Rattus norvegicus: one gene and its partner. The protein of the gene in region 2 purifies or fractionates together with the protein of the main gene of each other region. This does not show direct contact. Links are inferred from orthologs where the notes say so. Each region holds a gene or a part of one and is shown on either strand. Other genes may lie near its edges. The genes, in order: Prkd1 and Hdac5.

Evidence for each region.
Region 1: the proteins of Hdac5 (region 2) and Prkd1 purify together in Homo sapiens (affinity purification with western blotting; 4 studies listed by BioGRID, with this or other methods). This does not show direct contact. The link is inferred for Rattus norvegicus from reciprocal best matches to the Homo sapiens genes HDAC5 and PRKD1.

Annotation. Positions count from the first base shown.
Region 1 is NC_086024.1:73,503,430-73,512,076, forward strand, and holds part of Prkd1 (serine/threonine-protein kinase D1), read right to left. Parts: intron 8,436-8,647; coding exon 8,312-8,435; intron 6,970-8,311; coding exon 6,892-6,969; intron 5,394-6,891; coding exon 5,114-5,393; coding exon of another isoform or gene 5,084-5,113; intron 4,056-5,083; coding exon 4,003-4,055; intron 2,064-4,002; coding exon 1,991-2,063; intron 565-1,990; coding exon 458-564; intron 1-457.
Region 2 is NC_086028.1:87,670,591-87,679,895, reverse strand, and holds the start of Hdac5 (histone deacetylase 5), read left to right. Parts: upstream 1-3,326; 5' UTR 3,327-3,863; coding exon 3,864-4,014; intron 4,015-8,415; exon of another isoform or gene 8,416-8,531; intron 8,532-9,305. UniProt on the Homo sapiens protein: Responsible for the deacetylation of lysine residues on the N-terminal part of the core histones (H2A, H2B, H3 and H4).

The DNA of each region.
Region 1 (8,647 bases), on a different chromosome or scaffold from region 2:
AGCCTTATAAATATTCTGGTGTTACAAGACATTGTTGTGAATGGGAATTGTGACATTTTTCACATCAAAGAAAGACTCACCTGGCGAGATATGAAGGGGAACAGGAAAAGCTAGACAATCTATTTCTGAGGTATCTGCTACAAATCCCATTCATGTAAAGGGAAAGTGTTTATGAAGGTAAGGTCATTTTGAATCTAAGACAAATTGCTTGGAGCATTCCACCCTGAAAATATGCTATTTAATGAATATTACTAATATGTTAAAGTGTAGTATAATTCCATTAAAAAGAACAACTTTTCTAGTCTCTGGAGTGTACCACTCAGTTAAGTCTGACTCAGTTTGCCTTTCCACTTAACCTGCCATTAATTTTCTGGGCTGTAGGTATCTGCATGACTTTTGATTGTTTTACAGAAGTCAAGGAGAGGAATTTACAACTCTCAAATAAGAATCGGTTTACCTGTAAAATTGCAACCTCATTACGAAGCTGACTTTCTTGTTTTGTTGGAAATCTTAATTTGTCAATAATCTTAATAGCTACATCTCTTCCTGTTTTACGATGTTTACCTTCAAGATAAAAATGAGAAACATTAAACAATTAATTAATTAGCAAGTTAACAGTTGCAGTTAGTGAGAAGTGTTGGCCATTTAAACTACCTTGAAATTATGTTCCGTCGACACCTTTGACTTCCACAGTCCTCTGTTCTTGCATGCTGTTCTCATGGTGCTCATTACTCCCTTCGAGATGACTTCCCTTCATCAGCATATTCCCTCAGTTTTATTGTCTGACTTTCTTGAAACATCAATGCTCATGCCTTGACTCATACAGACTCTACCTGAACTCAGCAGTTTACAGCAGCAGCTCCTGACATAGTGAGAGCTTCGTGTAGCTCACTTCTCCGTCGCTGTGGAGACCACACACCTCTGAGACCCTATCCTCATTGTCTCCATCTGTGTACCTTCACACTTCCATTCTTCCTTGGGGATCTCCACCCTGTTACGCAGTCTCTCAAGTCCACCAGTATCCAATGTCCAAACCCCCTTCTGATTGCTGCTCTCTCTTCTTTCTTATCATCACCCCTGCCTCACCATCACCTATGTGCTGTGACATATATTTTCTACATTATTGAACATAATTTTAACTATGCAATTATTACATTGTAGAAAATAGATTAACGTGGTTTCTCTTATTATAGGACTATGTATTAAGGCATTAGTTACTACTCTTGTTTACAGTGATTAGTATTCATTATGTTTCCATAAAACAGTTTGATATTTTTAAAAGAATCAAGATCACTTTGAAAAATAAAGCAACTTAAATTTTGAAAATTCTGTATTTAGAGCTTTTGTAATTTTATGATGAAAAGTAAAAGTGTTAGACATGATTATTTTATAAAATACAAACTCAAAAAAATTACCAATTGTTAATTACCAAAGAAAGAAAAGTTAAGGTACCATTTTTCTATAGCAGTCAAAAGTTTAAAATTAAATGTTATGTAAAAGCTTGAAAAAATTGACCGAACTGTCTAGGATCTAAGTAAAAAACACCCACATTGACCTCGAAAAGCTAAAACATTCAGATGCTATGAATTGGATACACAGGGAAAATGTTAAAGTTCAAAGATTCCAGATTCACTGACACATCGTACCTGTAAGGATCGAGTCCAAGATGCTGACAGAATGGAACTGCTTTGTTCATAAACTACAGCCTCTGCGTTTCCACAACATTTTGTTTAAATACAAAAATTCAAACTACTGCAACACTGTGAGTAGGGTTTTCAAATATATATGAAAACAAGCTTTTCAGGAATAGGAAACTCTAAAAATCTATGAGTTTTTCAAAGAATGGCTATCTCACAAGAAGCTTCTCTGAAGGTGACTCCCAGATACACAAATAACGTGTCTTTTGCTTGTTTATCATTTTCTCAGAAATATAATAACCCAGGTGCCTAAACTTTTAAGTTCATAAAAAACATTTATTAAACCTACTCACCTCCATAAACAATTCCGAACTGTCCAGAACCCAGAACCTCATCCGGGAAAATCTGATAGACTGTGCTGATATCCTACCGGTAGATATCCAGAGGAAAACAAAGATAGGGAGAAGGCTTTAATCCTGTTACACTTTACAATTATAATTACTATTAGCTGATTGAATAGAAATATAATTAAATATTCCAAGATTCATTTAACACTTGTAAATGTTGGATAAGATTTCAATGGCTATAACATTCAAATTGCATTCATATAATATTTTGAAAACTATTCTGCTCTTAAGTACTTGGGATATGGTGCATTTTAATAGAGAGAAGGGGAACCTCAAACCAATCAATGGATTTTACTATAAATATCTGAAAATATATTCTTATTTCTACACTAGTAATTTAGAAATTTCATTAACTATTCCATGGCTTCATCACATGTCTGTAACAATCCTGCTTCACCTTCAGGCCAGGACAGTCAGGCTACTCCTGATTGTTTCATTTCTATAAGAACCTAAGCAATAGACAACCATTCCAGGATTCCCAGTTACTACATAAATAACCCACACAGAGTGCCACTTGGAAATGATAATCGCTGGAGGGAGGGTGAGCTAATTTGGGTTTCATATTGCACCTTCATGGAAACATTACAAAGTTTTATCTTTTTATTTGCATGGTATGGTGCATTCTAACACATTTTCCACTTATTTCAACTTTATAGCTCTTGATTGTTAAAAAAAAAATCAGCCACACTCCCCTGTCTGTAATCTACTCTCACCACTGTCCTTCTCTTCTCTTAGAAAGCAACTTGGAAGCTTGTATACCATGATCCCTTTGGAACATTCAGAAGGTGAATTCAAAGCTCTCTTGCAATGGAAATCATTATTCTGGTTTTTTGTTTTTCCTGCAGCCAAGCTAACTAACAGATTCTTTAGAACTTCTTTGAAAATTCACTTCAAAACTTTCAGTGGACAACCAAGGTAAAAGGCCTCTGAGATCCCTGGGACTACCCAGGAAGCATTACAGTAACCTGTGTTCCCCAAGGTCTTCTCTGTCTAAACAAGGGCTGGTGAACCCTGCAGTCTTGAGGCCTACATCTCAGGCTGAACAGTTCAAGCGTCCACTTAACCTTCACAGTGAAGTTGCCTCCCTGTAATTTATCCTTGCCTTTGTTCAGCTTAAACAAGTTCATCAAGAGTTCCAGGGACACGAGCAGTACTGAACAGACATTGAAGGAGTTTGGTTTTGGATAAACAGCCTCAGGTCACTGTAAACAGGAGGGTACACTGCTCTGTTCGGGTCTTAGGTAGAGCGAGCAGTTGATGCTGTTGGTTACAGCACTGAGGTAGGAAGAGGCATTATGACATTTTGAGTACTGAGATAAAATCAAACAAACACAACCTCAAATGAAACATCTCACAACGTGATCTGTAGCCTCTGAAATCTGAAAAGTCTGCTGACTGTGGTTCCTGATTTCTGCAATGTCTTTGAGCTCTGCATTGTGGCACGTGTATGTGACTAAGAATATTTACAATCCCTTTCATTATCAGCAAGCCTTGTTATCAAGGAGGTAAGCAATGCATGTTAAAACACGTCTACAAATAAAAACTTTATTTTACTGCATCTATTCTACTGTGCAGTACCAACCATTAAATTTCAAGTATCAAGTGTAGATCAGTGGCACTCCTAGCTGTCACTACCAAGCCTGCCTCTTGGTAAACCACTTATCCTATTTTGATAAAACAAAACAAAACAAAACAAAACAAAACAAATCCCCCCCAAACAAACATACAAAAACAAAATACAAAAAAAAAACAAGATAAATGATCATACTACAACTGTCTTTTATTACAAACAGTGTTTGGTACTATATTATAGAATATAGGAAAATCAGTAAACTGATTTTGTAAAATATCATGAAAGAAAATAAACAGAAATTTAGATAAATAAAAATCTATCATGTGATACTTTCTATTTTCCAGAAATCACATTCTGAGAGGTATATTAATAGACACAGACTTACCACATTTTCCTGAATCTGGCTATTCGAAACGGAAATGCTCACCGAAATATCTTCTGGAAGTGCATGTTTTAAAAAAAAAACAGACATAAAATAGTAAAAATATATTAAAAAATCCCATTGGGCTACATTTATATTACTATATTATATTCATCACAGCAATTAGATTTTTCTGCAAAGTTTCTATTAAAATATATTTGTTCCCTTAACATTAAACATTGTATCTACAATTTGTTTTTACATATGCATTTGTCAGTACAGAGCTCAGACTAAAGGAAGACTTCCAACTCTGGCTGTCCCATGCAGCAGTTCTGTTAGCTAAGAGACCATTAACTTTCTAGAGATGAACTGTTCCTGTTAGAATGTGGGCAAATCATTAAGGGACGGGGTTTTCGGAGTTAACAGAGAGGTCTTCGAGTAAGTGCTTAGTTTATATACAGATACATTCTTTTAGACAGAATAAGCACATATCCTATTAATATACTGGCTGAGGAGAAAAAAGGTAATTATGACAGATAAAATCTACTATAATGTTAAAACAGGTTAATGTGCAGGTTGCATGCTAGAATTCAGATCATAATTTCATATAGATACTCCTCCATTTCTTTAGATTCCCCTTCAGCACTCCATCGTGATTACACTCTGGCTGACCCTCTCTTACTAATGCACAGAAATGTCTTCCTGGGATAAGGTCATCAAGTAGGAACAACGGTTTATACCACGGGTACAGGAGGAGGAGGGAATCTGTGGCAAATACATCTTGTTCATATCTGTGGCAATCCAAGTGACGCTCAAACTGACTGTACGGGTTCTCTTAGGAACAACAACTGTGGGCACCTTTGGTCATACAGTATATAGGCTCTGCTTGGCTTTATAAAAGTTCTACTATAAAATAAGTAAAACAGTTTAATAAATGAAACATTTTAGTAAGCATAGCAGCTTCTCTTCAGTGATTCCTTGTTGTGCCACAAACCGGAGCCAGCACAGTGAGTCTCTTTGGGGAAAGCAGGAGGTTTCCTACTCGACCTTCAGGGGCCCGAGTATATGTATGTACCCCGTGACAGACTGAAGTATATGTATGTACCCCGTGACAGACGGAAGTCATTGGACTCACTGTGTGAGTTGGTTCCGGAACCCACAGAGGAGCCCTTGGGGATGACAGGCATGAGAGCGTGCTGGATGGCGACCTCCCACATCCTCGCCACATCGGTACCGATGCCGCTCGGGGGGACGCTGTTGTTTGGTGGGGGGCTTGAAGGGTTGACCACGTTTTCTCCCACATAATACACTACGTTTGCTGTAGTGATTTCAAAACAATGAGGGTTAGCTCCAGTGGGAATTAATGCTGAAGGTTTTGCTGGTTCCAGACATAAAATTTCTGATAAAGGAATTTCCTGTGGAAGACAAAGTATGATAAACGTAGTTAGCCAAACGCATGTCAATTATTAAATAAAACCCATGCTGTGTAAGAAAGGAAGTTACAAATAGAATATACAGACAACATTTTATAACATATACAGTATGTATAAAATGTAAATTTTTATAACAAGAGGCCTTATTACACTTTCTGAGAAATTTCCCTTTTCTCTCCATCTTTTCTTTCCATCCTTCCTTCCTTCCTTCCTTCCTTTCTTCCTTCCCCCCTTCCTTCCTTCCTTCCTTCCTTCCTTCCTTCCTTCCTTCCTTCCTTCCTCCCTCCCTTCCTTCCTTCTTTTCTTCCTAATAGAAGCTTTGAAGCAAATTATAATATTTTCTAAAATGCATTTGGTTATTCATGGCTGCTTTTTATTTCAAGTATTTCTTGAATTACCACATTCAAATATACTTTGATTCTATATGATAATATAATGTAGTTATATAGATGAGTGTTCATTGAGAAAAACCACAGTAATTTCTTTACAAAGTAGTTTTGTTTTTAAATAATTTGCCTGAATCACTATTACTCATCCTCGAGACAGGATCTCTCGATGAACTCAGGGCTTACTGAAAGGCTCCAAAAATCTGCCTCTGTCTGCTGCACCTACATTAGGGTTTTAAGACATATTAGACTATGCCTGGGTGATGATGATGATGACGATGAAAATGATGATGACAATAATGCATTATGAAAATTTAAACTCAGATCCCAGATCCCCAGGGTTATGTGGTGAGTAATTTATTGAATGAGCTATTTCTCCCAACCCCCAAACTAATTATTTTTATCATTTAAGTATTGAAAACCTGAAGTGCCACACCATACTGCGGGATGCAGAAAGTAACTAAAGTAATAACTTAGTTTTTCAATTAAAAATGTAATAACCTTTTCTTTGGTGTCACAGCTGTGTAACAGGGAGCATGAAGGATCACAGGGACTACACTAGATACTACACATTTATTACTTAACGTAGAAAGGCAGACAATTGATGATAAATGCAGGGATGTGATCCTCTTAACTGCTGGCAATGGCGGAGGAATGGTTCTTTCTACCTGCTAACATGCAGTGCTGGTTGTCTGAGGATGTGAGGCTTTCCTCTTAGTCACTGGTTGTGCCCACTGACTCTCTAGTAAAACCAAGCAACTCTGCTGAAATGCTTCCCTTAGCTTCCCTCCATCTCCTTCTCTGTCATCCTGCTCTTTGGCATCCCTGGGCCAGAAGCCGTTTGCTGGCAACAGTGAGATGGCACATGAATCAAGATGTCACATCTGAATTTCTACAAAAACTGCACACCACCAATTCAAAGCGCTCTCTCTCTCTCTCTCTCTCTCTCTCTCTCTCTCTCTCTCTCTCTCTCTCTCTCTCTCTCTCTCTCTCTCTCTCAGGATCCCAGGAATAGTCACACTGCTGGATGTCGACCAACTTCCAGATTACCTTAAGGAATATCATGAAGCAAAACTGAGAGAAGCCGGCCTCACCTTGTAGTACCGGCTGCCTGTGTCGTTTTGGAAGAGTGTGATGCTTTTGCTGTCCAGTCTCCAGTAATGCCTTTTCCTCTGAAACAGAAGTTACAAAACGTTAAAAGTCCACGTGCTTTACAAAAACAAGTGCAGTTTCTCAGTGGGAATGTGATTTTGATGGTGAAACATTTAAGGGCATTAGGCCAAAACAAATCACAATTTAACTCAAGAAGCTATTTAATGATCCCACTGTGACAAGTTTCTATAGGTACTTTTAAGACTGTGAATTATAACAGAGACACTGGATTAGCATCCTGGGAAGTACCTGGTCTGCCATTCACATACACACAATGAATAGCAAAATACTCTCGTTATTAACATTTATTCACTTGAAAAGCTAAAAGGAGATTTTCAGTCTACAAAATACCAATGCTTATAGCAGGTAGAAAGTTTGTATGCACTTATCTTTCAGAACAGGACAGCCCCTGAGATTCAGCTAGGCATTTTCGTTTCTACTCCCCATAGAACACTGAATGCTACATCACTAAGTAAGTTTCATTAGATGGAAGGCCATGGCTCCAAGTTTAGACAATGCACTTGACACTTAACATCCTCTTCAGCTGGCCCCTCAGCTCATCACTGTGACATAGTCACTGGGTTTCTGCTCTCTCAGTGCTCTGCCTTTGTGGGCATGTATTTTTGGTGTCTCTCACAACCACTTTTAAACCAAACATTAAATATGCCCTAAATATTTCCCAACTGGCCCAAGGAGAAAGTTATAGTGTTCACTTGAGTCCTGAACTAAATTTTTCTCTCCCATAAGAAGGTATGAATTATAAATGACCAAGTAAGGTACACATGTCTCTTTATCTAAAGATGTGGTGTAAATCCTATTGGTGGTTAGAGATGGGAAAACAGGGTACAAAACTCTTACCAAATGTCGATTAGTTAAACTCTGGACCATGCCTCTCCTCTAGCCGTATACACAACAATATTATTTAGCTGTTTGGGTTCTACTGTCAAGAAAGGAAACACACTACAGGGTTGTCACACACCTGCGTGGCTAAACTTTTAAACAAAGCGTTTAAGTCTTGAGAAGATATAATAGTCAGCAGTGCTCTCTCTCACTTCCCAAAAGGCACAGTTTCTTTGAAACCTCTCAGCCACAGAGGGACACACTAAAACCATGCAGTACTCCTGCCACGGCTGTCCTTAGAATGATGCAGATATTCCAGTTGTCTGCAGATTTATTTTTTCTGTACTGGAATTCCTTTGTACGGTTTATTCTAACCCCAATACCTATTCATCTGCATCAAACATCCAGACATCATGTGCTCTGCTGACCCATGCCTGTGCTAGGAGGTCTACGCCCCAGAACTCACATATCCCACAGTCCCCCAGGACATCAGATTCCTAGGGAGCAGCTCTACCTCCTTACCAGTGTGTCCTTGCTGGTGTAGTGGACCATCCACCCTTCCTTCATCACTGTGCTGCTTCTCCTCTTTGTGTGCTTGACAGACTGCACTACCCTCATAAGCGGTATGTTGTTGCTCGTAGAAGGGCTTGAAAAGTCAAAATATGTTAGCAGGGAAATATTTTCACATTCAGATCTTCTTTCCACGAGTAAAAGCTCATTTAAACTATTTCAAAGCACAAGTCAAAAAAATGCATGTCTCATTTTCAGTGAAATGTACTGTCAGAGGTTGATGGCTCAGAAAGGGAGTTTCTTGGGGGAGTGACAGGTACTTCAGACATTCACTTTAAAACTCCCTAG
Region 2 (9,305 bases):
TTTTACCTTTTTCTTTAGGCAGAGGAGGACGCAAAGGGTAAGGCATTCTTTATTTTTCTGGAGTCAGTCCTGTCTGTACATTCCCTTCTGTGGGGCTGAAGACTTACAGAATTTGTAGCAGCTCTGGCTTGGAAGAGCCTCCCTGGGACCTAGGACCTCAACTGCCCTAGTTGTACCCTGTTCTCAGGGCCATTGCTTAGAGAGGGACAAGAATGTGGCTTGCCACATGATTCTGTCTAGATGTTTGTTGGTGGGGCCCTGGGGGAGGCATCTAGGTTCCTTATGCCCTGCGTGGGAGGAAGATGAGCTGGATGATAACACCTGTCTGCCCAGCACCTCCTAGCGCCCTCTATACTTTCTCTCCTTCCCTTTCCCAGGAGGGAGGGCAACTGCCCCCTCCCTTTGGGGTGACCAGAGAAACTGGGGCATGGGTGTGGGGTGGAGCCAGGAACCTTGGCGTCCTGTCTCCCTGCCTCAGGCTCTGCTGCTGAGCCCCTGGGAAGGCAGGCAGCCAGCCAAAGGAGGAGAAAGTGGGTCAGTGCTGGTTGGCATGGGCAGGGGTCTGGGGAGAAGACCCTTGGTCTCCTCTCCCTATAGGTGCCTTGGCAGATTGGAGTCTCCTTTCTCTTCCTCTGCTCGGCTTCCAGAGGGATTGAAGGCTTAGGACTGACTGGTGAGGAGAGGGGAAGTAGAAGATGACAAAGTGTGTGTCCACATTCTTCCTACAGTTGCTTTTAAATGAGGAGATTCAGCCAGTACCTAACTGTGGACCTGGCTGGGCCATACTGGCGGGTTCCAGCATGACTGGGCTCAAAGGAAGAACTACAGGGTACCAGGGTTGATGGTTCCCAGGCATCTCCCAGCCCAGGGGCTCTGGACCAGCTTTGGGCAGAAGACTTCTCTTCCCTTTTGGTCAGAGCCGCAGGCCAGTCTTTGGGCCCAGGAAATAAGATCAGGCAGAGCTGAAGGAGGCAGCAATGGGCTCTCCCTTCTGCTCCAGGATTGGAAGGGCAGAGCGTGGCCTTAGAGGTAGGGAGTAGAGGTGCTGCTGGGAGAACAGAGCTGGTTATGTAGCCCAAGCTGGGCTTGAACTTGCTGATGCTGGCTTAGGATGTGTCTCGTGGACTACACGCTTCGTGAGCACTCTGGGAGATTTGTGGGGTGGGTCTTGGGAGCGGTGGATGGATAGGAATGGAAAAGTAGGCAGGAGAGAGGGGTGCTGTAGCAGGAAAGCTTGAGGTTAAACATTAGGAAGACCTCGTTACATCATCTGCATCTCTGAAGAGGAGGGATGCTTGTCGTTCCTCCCCCTAGACCTGTCCCCGCACATTTCCTCAGAGGTTTCTGGAAATTGCGTTGAAGATGGGAGACCTCTTGCTAAAGTGTAGAAGTCATACCAGTGCTGGCTGTTCTCACTGAGCCTTTGAGTGCCCCTGTCCTCAAAGAGTTGTGAAGAATCCTCTTTACCAAGCTTAATAGTTTAAACCTATAGTCCCAGCAGTGGAAAGGTTGAATCAGGAGGCTCATTGTGAGTTCAAGGCTAGCCTTGGCTACAGAGTGGGACCCTGTCTCAAACAACAACAAAAGGGAGACCTCCTTTGACATCAGGCTAATCTAGGGTCCCAGGGGCTTTGCTTTCAATTTGTCATAGCTGCTGTCCTTCCCTGAGCAGGGCTCCCTTGTCTCTCTCCTGTGCCTGGGGCAGGTAAGAGTGTGCCAGGACAGGGCTAGCCAGCCCTTCTGGTTGTTCTCAGCGTGGGTGGGTGGAGCTCCGTCTGGGAGGGGCTGCTACCCCCGGCTTTCTGGGCTCCCTTGTGTCTGCCTCTGACTGTCCTTGGTAGAGCCTCTGGTCTTTCCTTCTCCTCTTGAGAGACCTCGTTGATCTGGATGCAGCTGGGGGAGGGGCAGTAGATAGGTGATGTTTTCCAGCACCAAGCCCCCGGATTGCACAGGTCTCCTGCCTTTCCTTCTAGAATCTGTCGTGACTCCTTGCTCTAGACTCCTCCCACTTCAGTTCCTAGTCTACCACTGGGAAACAAACCCCAAACCCCAGGGTCATCTGCATCTCACTAGGCTTGGAAAAGCTTGTTTCTACCACCACCCTGGTGTGTGTTTTCCCACCTGAGGGAGGAGGCAGAAGCTTGGAAGATGGGTTTCTGGAGTCACAGCCTCCATGTCCTTGGTTGGACTGCTTCTCCCAGGCTCCTGACAGGAGGGTGAGGTCATCCAGTCCAGAGAGAGGACAGGTGTCCCTGGCTCCGTGCCTGGAGTGGGGGGCAAGGAGGGGGCAGGAGGGGTCCAAAATAGTAACTGTGACGTCAGGAGAGGGGAGGAGGCTATAGACCCAGGAATAACCAGTCTATTAAAAGGCTCCAGTGAGGTCAGGGGGCCAAGTGGGATCTCTTTATCAGTGGGAGGCACAACTCGGGAAGAAGGGGGAGGTCAACAGTGCGTGGTGCTGGCAGTGGCATCAATTTTGATGGTTCGGTGGCCCCATGGCCCAGGAAGGTGGAGAGCTGGGGCTACTCCACCAGGCCAGGGTGCTAACAGCTTCATGACTAGCTGGAGGGCCTCCAACCCCAAGTCTTTCTACTTGGGCACTGGAGGTCCTGTCCCTGGGACAGATGTATATTCTGCCCATGAGTTATGGTGGTCAGTGCTTCAGACTTCTAGTCCCAACCAATCCCGTGAGCAGCTCTATGACAAGAGTAACTTTCGTCTTCCTGTAACTCAGCTTCCCCATCTTGGCCTCTTTCTGGTGGTCATTGTTAGCATAAAGGCAATGATGTTTGCGGTTTGTGGTGCTCTCAGCTGGGTACATTGCCAGGAAAGCGTTGATTGAGCTGAGAATGGGCTGGTGCTGACCAGTCCCCTGCCTGGGCTGGGCAAAGCCTACCCAGAAAAATCTCTCTGCTCCCTGAAAAGAGGCGGAGTGCCAGAGGTGGTACTAGAATGGGTGGGAGAGCTGCCACCCCACTGCTATTTAGGGTCTCCCTGATAGTAAGACTGTAGGGAGGCATCTCCCGGCTCTGTGGGAAGGCAGAAGTTACACAAACTCCACAGGCTGTAAGGAGGAGGTGTGAGGTTAGACCAGGTGGTTGGGTGTCTGTCACCTCTTCCTAGTCTTTCTGATTCCTTTCCTCTGCACAGAAAGGGGGAAGATAGAAGATCCAGGCTGGCTGCTTGCTGTCCAGTTCATTGTTTGCCCCCAGCAGCAGTGGCCAAAGCTGATCCCAGAAGCATGGGTCCTCTCCTGCACCTTTCTCTAGTTCAGCCACTGGCCACCCAGGTCTGTGGCCTTGGCCCTGAGTGCAGGCCTCCCTTGCCCCCCTCCCCCTTGACTGGCGCTTCCTCCTGGGGTGGAACGCGCCTCCCCCCATGGGGCCTCCGCCAGGCCTGGGCTCCTGGCAGCCAGCCGGCGGCTCCCTGAGCATGCTCCACCTATTTATAGACAGGGCCCTCCCCCAACTGCTATTTCAGTCTCCTGCCAGCTGCCGGCGGCTCATTCGGGGAGGAGGAGCAGGGAGCCAAGCCCAGAGCTGTCACCGGTGGCTCTGGGAGGGAACACTGAGAGAGTCTGCCTGCCCACTGAGCTCCCCTTCCTGTCCCTTGAGCACCCAGCCATAGCCCAACTCCTGGAACCTTTAGACGGACCTCGGTCCATGCTCCCGTAGTGGAGAACAGGCCTGCAGCCTCTTCAGCCTCCCTGCGCCTGCTGCCTCGGGAGCGCCCAGGCCGGATGAGGTGCCTCCTTGCCTTGTGGGTCCCAGCGGCAGTGGCCTGAGGGAGTCCTTGAGCAGCCGGCTGGCCCTGCTGACCACCTTTCCCTCACCGGCTTCCGCCTCGGGCGGCCCCTCCCTGGCATGCTGCTGGTGCCCAAGGCACAGGGGCTTGTGGAGATGCTGCAGACCATCTATGAGACCGAGTCCTGTTTCTCAGCAGATGGCATGTCAGGCCGGGAACCATCCTTGGAAATCTTGCCACGGACTCCTCTGCACAGCATCCCTGTGGCAGGTAAGTGGCTCTGTGTCCCCACCTGCCCTCAGCTCTTGGGCATCCTCGCACCTGGTTTGAGCACCCCACTGTGAGTGTTGCTCCCTCGGGGTTCTGCTTCAGCCTTTGAGGGTTTTGTTGAGCATCCATGGATTGGAAGAACTGAGCGGCTAGAGCAGTTTTCCTTCCCTCCTTGCCCAGGGCCATCCTCTCACGCTGCCTCCTAGCCACTGTCTCTCCAGTGCCTCTGCCTTCAGCAGGGTCAGCCTCAGCTGCTAGGGGCTAGGGCTTCCTAGAGAATTCTGGCCTAGTTGGACCATGGTCAGAGGGGAGGAAGTGGGTCAGTGACCGATCTCCAGGCTGCCTTGCTCTCCCCACCATTGAGCAGAGGAAGAAGTTGTACCTGGAGTACCTACAGGAATCAGAAGCCAAGCTTCTGTGGCTTGGTTTGACCTGGTCAGAGTGTAGTGACTTTGGCAAGTTTCTGGTCTGGAGGCTTCTTAAGAATGGACACTTAGGAAGAGGCTTGTTGGGATAGGGTTGAGCAGAGGCTAGCAGCTGGGGTGTTTGAGGGTTTTGGCTTAGTTCCTAGTCTAGTTCCCTCCTATCTCTTCCTTCCCGGGGCTGTGGCTTCTTCCCACTTTCTGAGGATAAGGAAGTGTTTCTTTGACCACAGGTGGGCTTGAGGACCTCCCTTGTAACCTAAGCATGAGGATTCCTTGCCCTGCCACCTTCTCTGGGGAAACTTTTTTGATCCTTGGTAGGGGGTGGGGTCCCCCCAAAGCTGGCCACTCCTTCGCTCACTCCCAGAAACCTGTTGCCACCAGGCGGGCAAGATGCTTCCTCCAGGGAGGGACTTGCTGGACCCATGCCTGCTTGGCCCCTCCTGGCAGTGGCTGGCTTGGTGAGAGAGAGAGAGAGAGAGAGAGAGAGAGAGAGAGAGAGAGAGAGAGAGAATGAGAATGAATATATATGTGTATGTGTGGATCTGAAGGTTTCAATTAGAAGGTGGGAGCTCTGTTTCTCTCTGGTGGGTACCTGTGATTTGGCTCTCAGCTGTCCAGGGATAAGACTTCAGTAGACTGGGCTGTGTCGGAAGGATGTTTTGGGAAGGTTTGGAAAATCCTTGGAATGTGATTTGCTGTCAGCTTGGACATAGATAGGGATGCCCGTCCATTCAGTGTCCTAGTATAGGGCATAGTCATGGAGACCAGCTCTGCAGTGTGCCTACCAAGTCCCCGGGATGGAGCCCAAGAGGCTGGTGCTTGTTCAGGACTAATGGAACTACAGCTCTGTCCTCAACCCCCAAACCTGGGCCTCTGCATGTTCATGGGAACTCCTGGGAGGTTAAGGGATGTAGAGCATCACCTAGGGTGGCTTCTAGCTGGTCACCCATTCTGCAGTGAGCTACCAGTTGGCCCCAAGTTCCTGCTGATTTCGTCTTCTTTGCTTTGGACACCAGAATCCCTGAAAGTTTGGGACCACATTCTTCTATCCCTGGATATATATACCCCAGCCAATCCCTCTCTCTAGATCTCCACCCCCCAGCCCCCCCTCCAACCTGGCCTTCAGAGTGTGGTGCAGTCCCTGCTGGCAGGAGGGAGGTGTGAGTCACCCCAGCAGCTCGGGGAGAGGGCTAAGAATGTTCCCCTGAGCAGTTCTGATGCTGTGTCTGTGACGCGGCTGGGGACAGATATAGGCCTGGAGCTTGGCTGCTTTTTTTTTTTTTTTTTTTTTTGGACTCTGGAATGTAAATAGTCGTTTCAAATAGAAACACTTTAACCTTTGGGTTAAAAAAAAAATCCTCCCTAGATAAACATGGCCGTGAGGGCCCAGAAGCCTGGTGTTTCCCTTCAGTCCCTTTTCCCCTCATGCACCCTCTCCTTCCAATTTCTTGAGCAGTCTCGGGACAAGGCACAGAAGCCTACAGCCAAAAAAGCCCGTTTCCAGGGGTGTGTTCTCGGATGACGTTGCTGGTGTCCCCCACCCAAGGGATTGGAGAAGGGGCCTTCTGAGATGCTAGCTCTCTGTCCCTTAAAGCAGCAAGTGCTGGGAACTCTTATTTGGGGGCAGCTTTTGTTTCCTCTGCTGTGTTGTTGGGTGCTCATTACCCCCCCCCATACACACACACCTAGCGCAGTGGGTGGTACTTAGATGAATGAGTGTTGGATGAGGGGGTGGAGGCCCAGCCCTCTGGCAGGATGCCTGGGTGCTATTTTGGGGCTTGACCTGGTGGCTGGATAGAGACAGCTACAGTGGGCACCTAAGGGTAAGAGAGCTCAAGAGGGGCAGAAACACTCACTTAGCTCTTCTTGATTAAGGAAGGGGAAAGGGACCAATTTTCCTCCCATTGCGTGTGACTGGCTGTGTCTCTGTCTGGCTACCCCGTCACTGCCCAGTGTGCAGTGAGCACCTTCGTATACTAGGCTCGGTCCTAGCTTAAGGCTCCTGGGACCTTTGATTCCACTGTGAGATTCCCGATGACCCTGAGCGGGGCTCCGACTTCCCCTTGTCCATTTCTGCTTGAGCTGAGCCCTTGGATACTGTGAACTGTGAAAAGGAATGGCAGAAGAGGCTTCCCTACCAGCTGAGGGAGGTACGGATCTGGTTTGTGCCAGGAAGGAATGCTCTGGATGTTGGGAAGTCCCATGAGGTTCAGGTTTGCAACCGGGGCTTTCCCTGGCTGTTCCTATTTAGGTTCGTGAGGCCATTCCAAGCATGGCTGTGTGTCAGGAATGTGTAGGTGTGGGGATGCCAGGAAGGTAGGAAGGGCAGGACTTGAGTGGAACTAATATTGTAATCCACGAGGCGACAAGGATACTCGGGACTTTCCTTACTGGTCCCTTTTAGGAAGGATGTTACCCACATCCCATAGTGGAGAAGGGTTAGAGACATGAAAGACTTTACCCAGAGCACAGATTAAGTAGCAGCTAAGCTTTGAACTCAGGTTTGTCTGGGTGGGGCCGTTGTTAACCCATACAAAACCTTTCTCTTAGATTAAAAAAAAAAATAGTCCTTTGTCTGGGTGGGTGTGTCCTCGGACCTAGTGTCTATGGCTTAGTAACCAGAGCATGGGCTAGATTTTAACTGTTTGTCCCTTCAGTTGGGGACCCATCTGCAGTATCCAACATGTACAACCTTATGTCCTTCTAAAGTCTGAGCTCCTAGAGAATAGGGCTCATTCTGGCTCCACTCCTGGGGTGTCCAGGAGTAGCCCCTCCCCCTTACAAATACTTGGAACCTCTTGACCAATTAACTCTCCCTGCGTTGCTTTGACTCAAAGGAAGACGAGCGCCCAAGAACGGAGTAAAACTGCTCTCCCATGCAGACAGCGTCTTCTGCCCCCATGGCCTCCTACCTCATCTTGTTTTTGAGACCCTCAGCTGTCCCTTCCCCTCTGTACAGCTGCCAGACAGGAAGTCAGATTAACCGTGTCCACACACAGCTGTACCAGCTGTCAGACTGTCAACAGGAATGAGTGCAGGCAGTCCGGGGACTTTGCGAGACAGCGGTTCTCCAGCTTTGAATTGCAAGAGAATTGCCAAGGAGATGTGGTCAGAGGCAGGTTCTGAGTGTGCAGGACACCTCGGGAAGCAATGTCTAAACGCCTCCTCTGGCAGTTCTGATGTACAGCCTGTTAGATGTACAGTGTGTTAGCGTCTGGGCTGCCTCTCAGGTTTCGTGGAAGGCCCTGGTGGGAGAAGGGTCTATGCAGAGGGCAGGCGGGCGGCTGTTATCCTAGACAGGCAAATACAATTCCCAGCAGCCTGGCAGTCTGGAGAGAGGATGTTTTGAGATGCCAGGAGCAGGTGTCTAAACTCACTGGGGGATAATGGCATGCAGCCAGGCGGACAGGGTGCCTTGCTGGACACAGAAGCCGGGGCTGTGCATGGAGAATGCAAGCAAGATCTGTCCTGGGGCCCTTGCCACCCCCACTCCAACCCCCACCCCCACCCCCAACCCAACCCCCACCCCCAGGTAGGAGCAGTCACCGCAGGTTTTGCATGGTTACTGTGCCTTTTAATTGTCTGCAGCAGCTTTCAAGCCCAGATATTCTCAGGATGGTGGGGAGATGGGAATTTTCTCTTCTAGATAGCAACCTAAGGTCAGCGCTGACTCCAGGGACATCTTGTGGCCCCTACATGGATTCTGCATCCCTGTAAGGTCTTTCAGAGTCTCAGCCTGCCTCCAGCTCTTCCCCCCTGCCCCACTTGCCCCCCTCTCCCTTCTACCTTTGGGCTCTGGTATGCTGGTACCACTCAGGTGCCTTATTTAGGTTGTTTGACCCTCAGGGCTCCTTGTTGCATCTCTCTCTCTATTCGGTGCCAGCCTCTAGGCTTTCCCCTTTTGCTTTGTAGGGAGCGGGGCAGAGAGAGCCAGGAGAGTCTAGATTAAGCACTGGCTCCTCTGCCTCCTTTTCAGGTGACCTTGGACAAGCCTACTCCCTCTGTGGCCTCACTTTCTCCTCCTGCAGCTGGGGGCGTTGAGTTGCCGAGCTCCTGGGCCTTTTCCTTACTGACATTCTGAGGGTCTCTGAGGTCAGTCTCATGTTGCTTCTGTCTTGCTGGAGGAAGGGCTGAGGGTCGCCCAGCACCTTGCCCCAGGAGGATAGAGAGGGCAGAGGTGTCACCTAGAGTGGGGGACAGTAAGGTCAGGGATGGGAAAGTATTAGACTACTTAGAGCTGGGGGCCTGGAAAGCAGGGACCAAAGCTTGTGCTTATTTGTTTCAGGTGATTTGGGGGGGATGGAAGGGACCCCACTGCTGAGATTTGAGCACAGGCCGTGAAGCCAGGGAGATGGCCTTCAAGCTCTAGAGTCGAGAGGACGCCGCTCCCAGAACTTTTTCTCTTTCAGTGGCACCTAGCTGCTGGTCATGGTACAGTGTGTAGGAAAGGCTCTGATGGTTCAGGTTCACAGAGTGACCTTCAGACAACATGAATGACAGTTAAGGCCTCACTGTGGCAGGAGTCTGAGCCTAGCATCCACAGAGCTTAAGTGATCTGTGAAGTTGGCCTTACATAATTCTAAACATTTTAGTTTGTGTGCTTTTACTTTTGGTTAAACAAACAAGCACATTTTTTTTTTTTTGCTTCTTTTTTCTTTTTTTCGGAGCTGGGGACCGAACCCAGGGCCTTGCGCTTCCTAGGCAAGCACTCTACCACTGAGCTAAATCCCCAGCCCCAACAAGCACATTTTTATTTATTTATTTTAACTCCTTTATCTTTGTGATCGGTTTGCCTGTTTTATATGTCTGTGTACCATGTACCATGTGCGTAGTGCCTGGGTGCCCCAGGAGGCCAGGGGAGAGCAT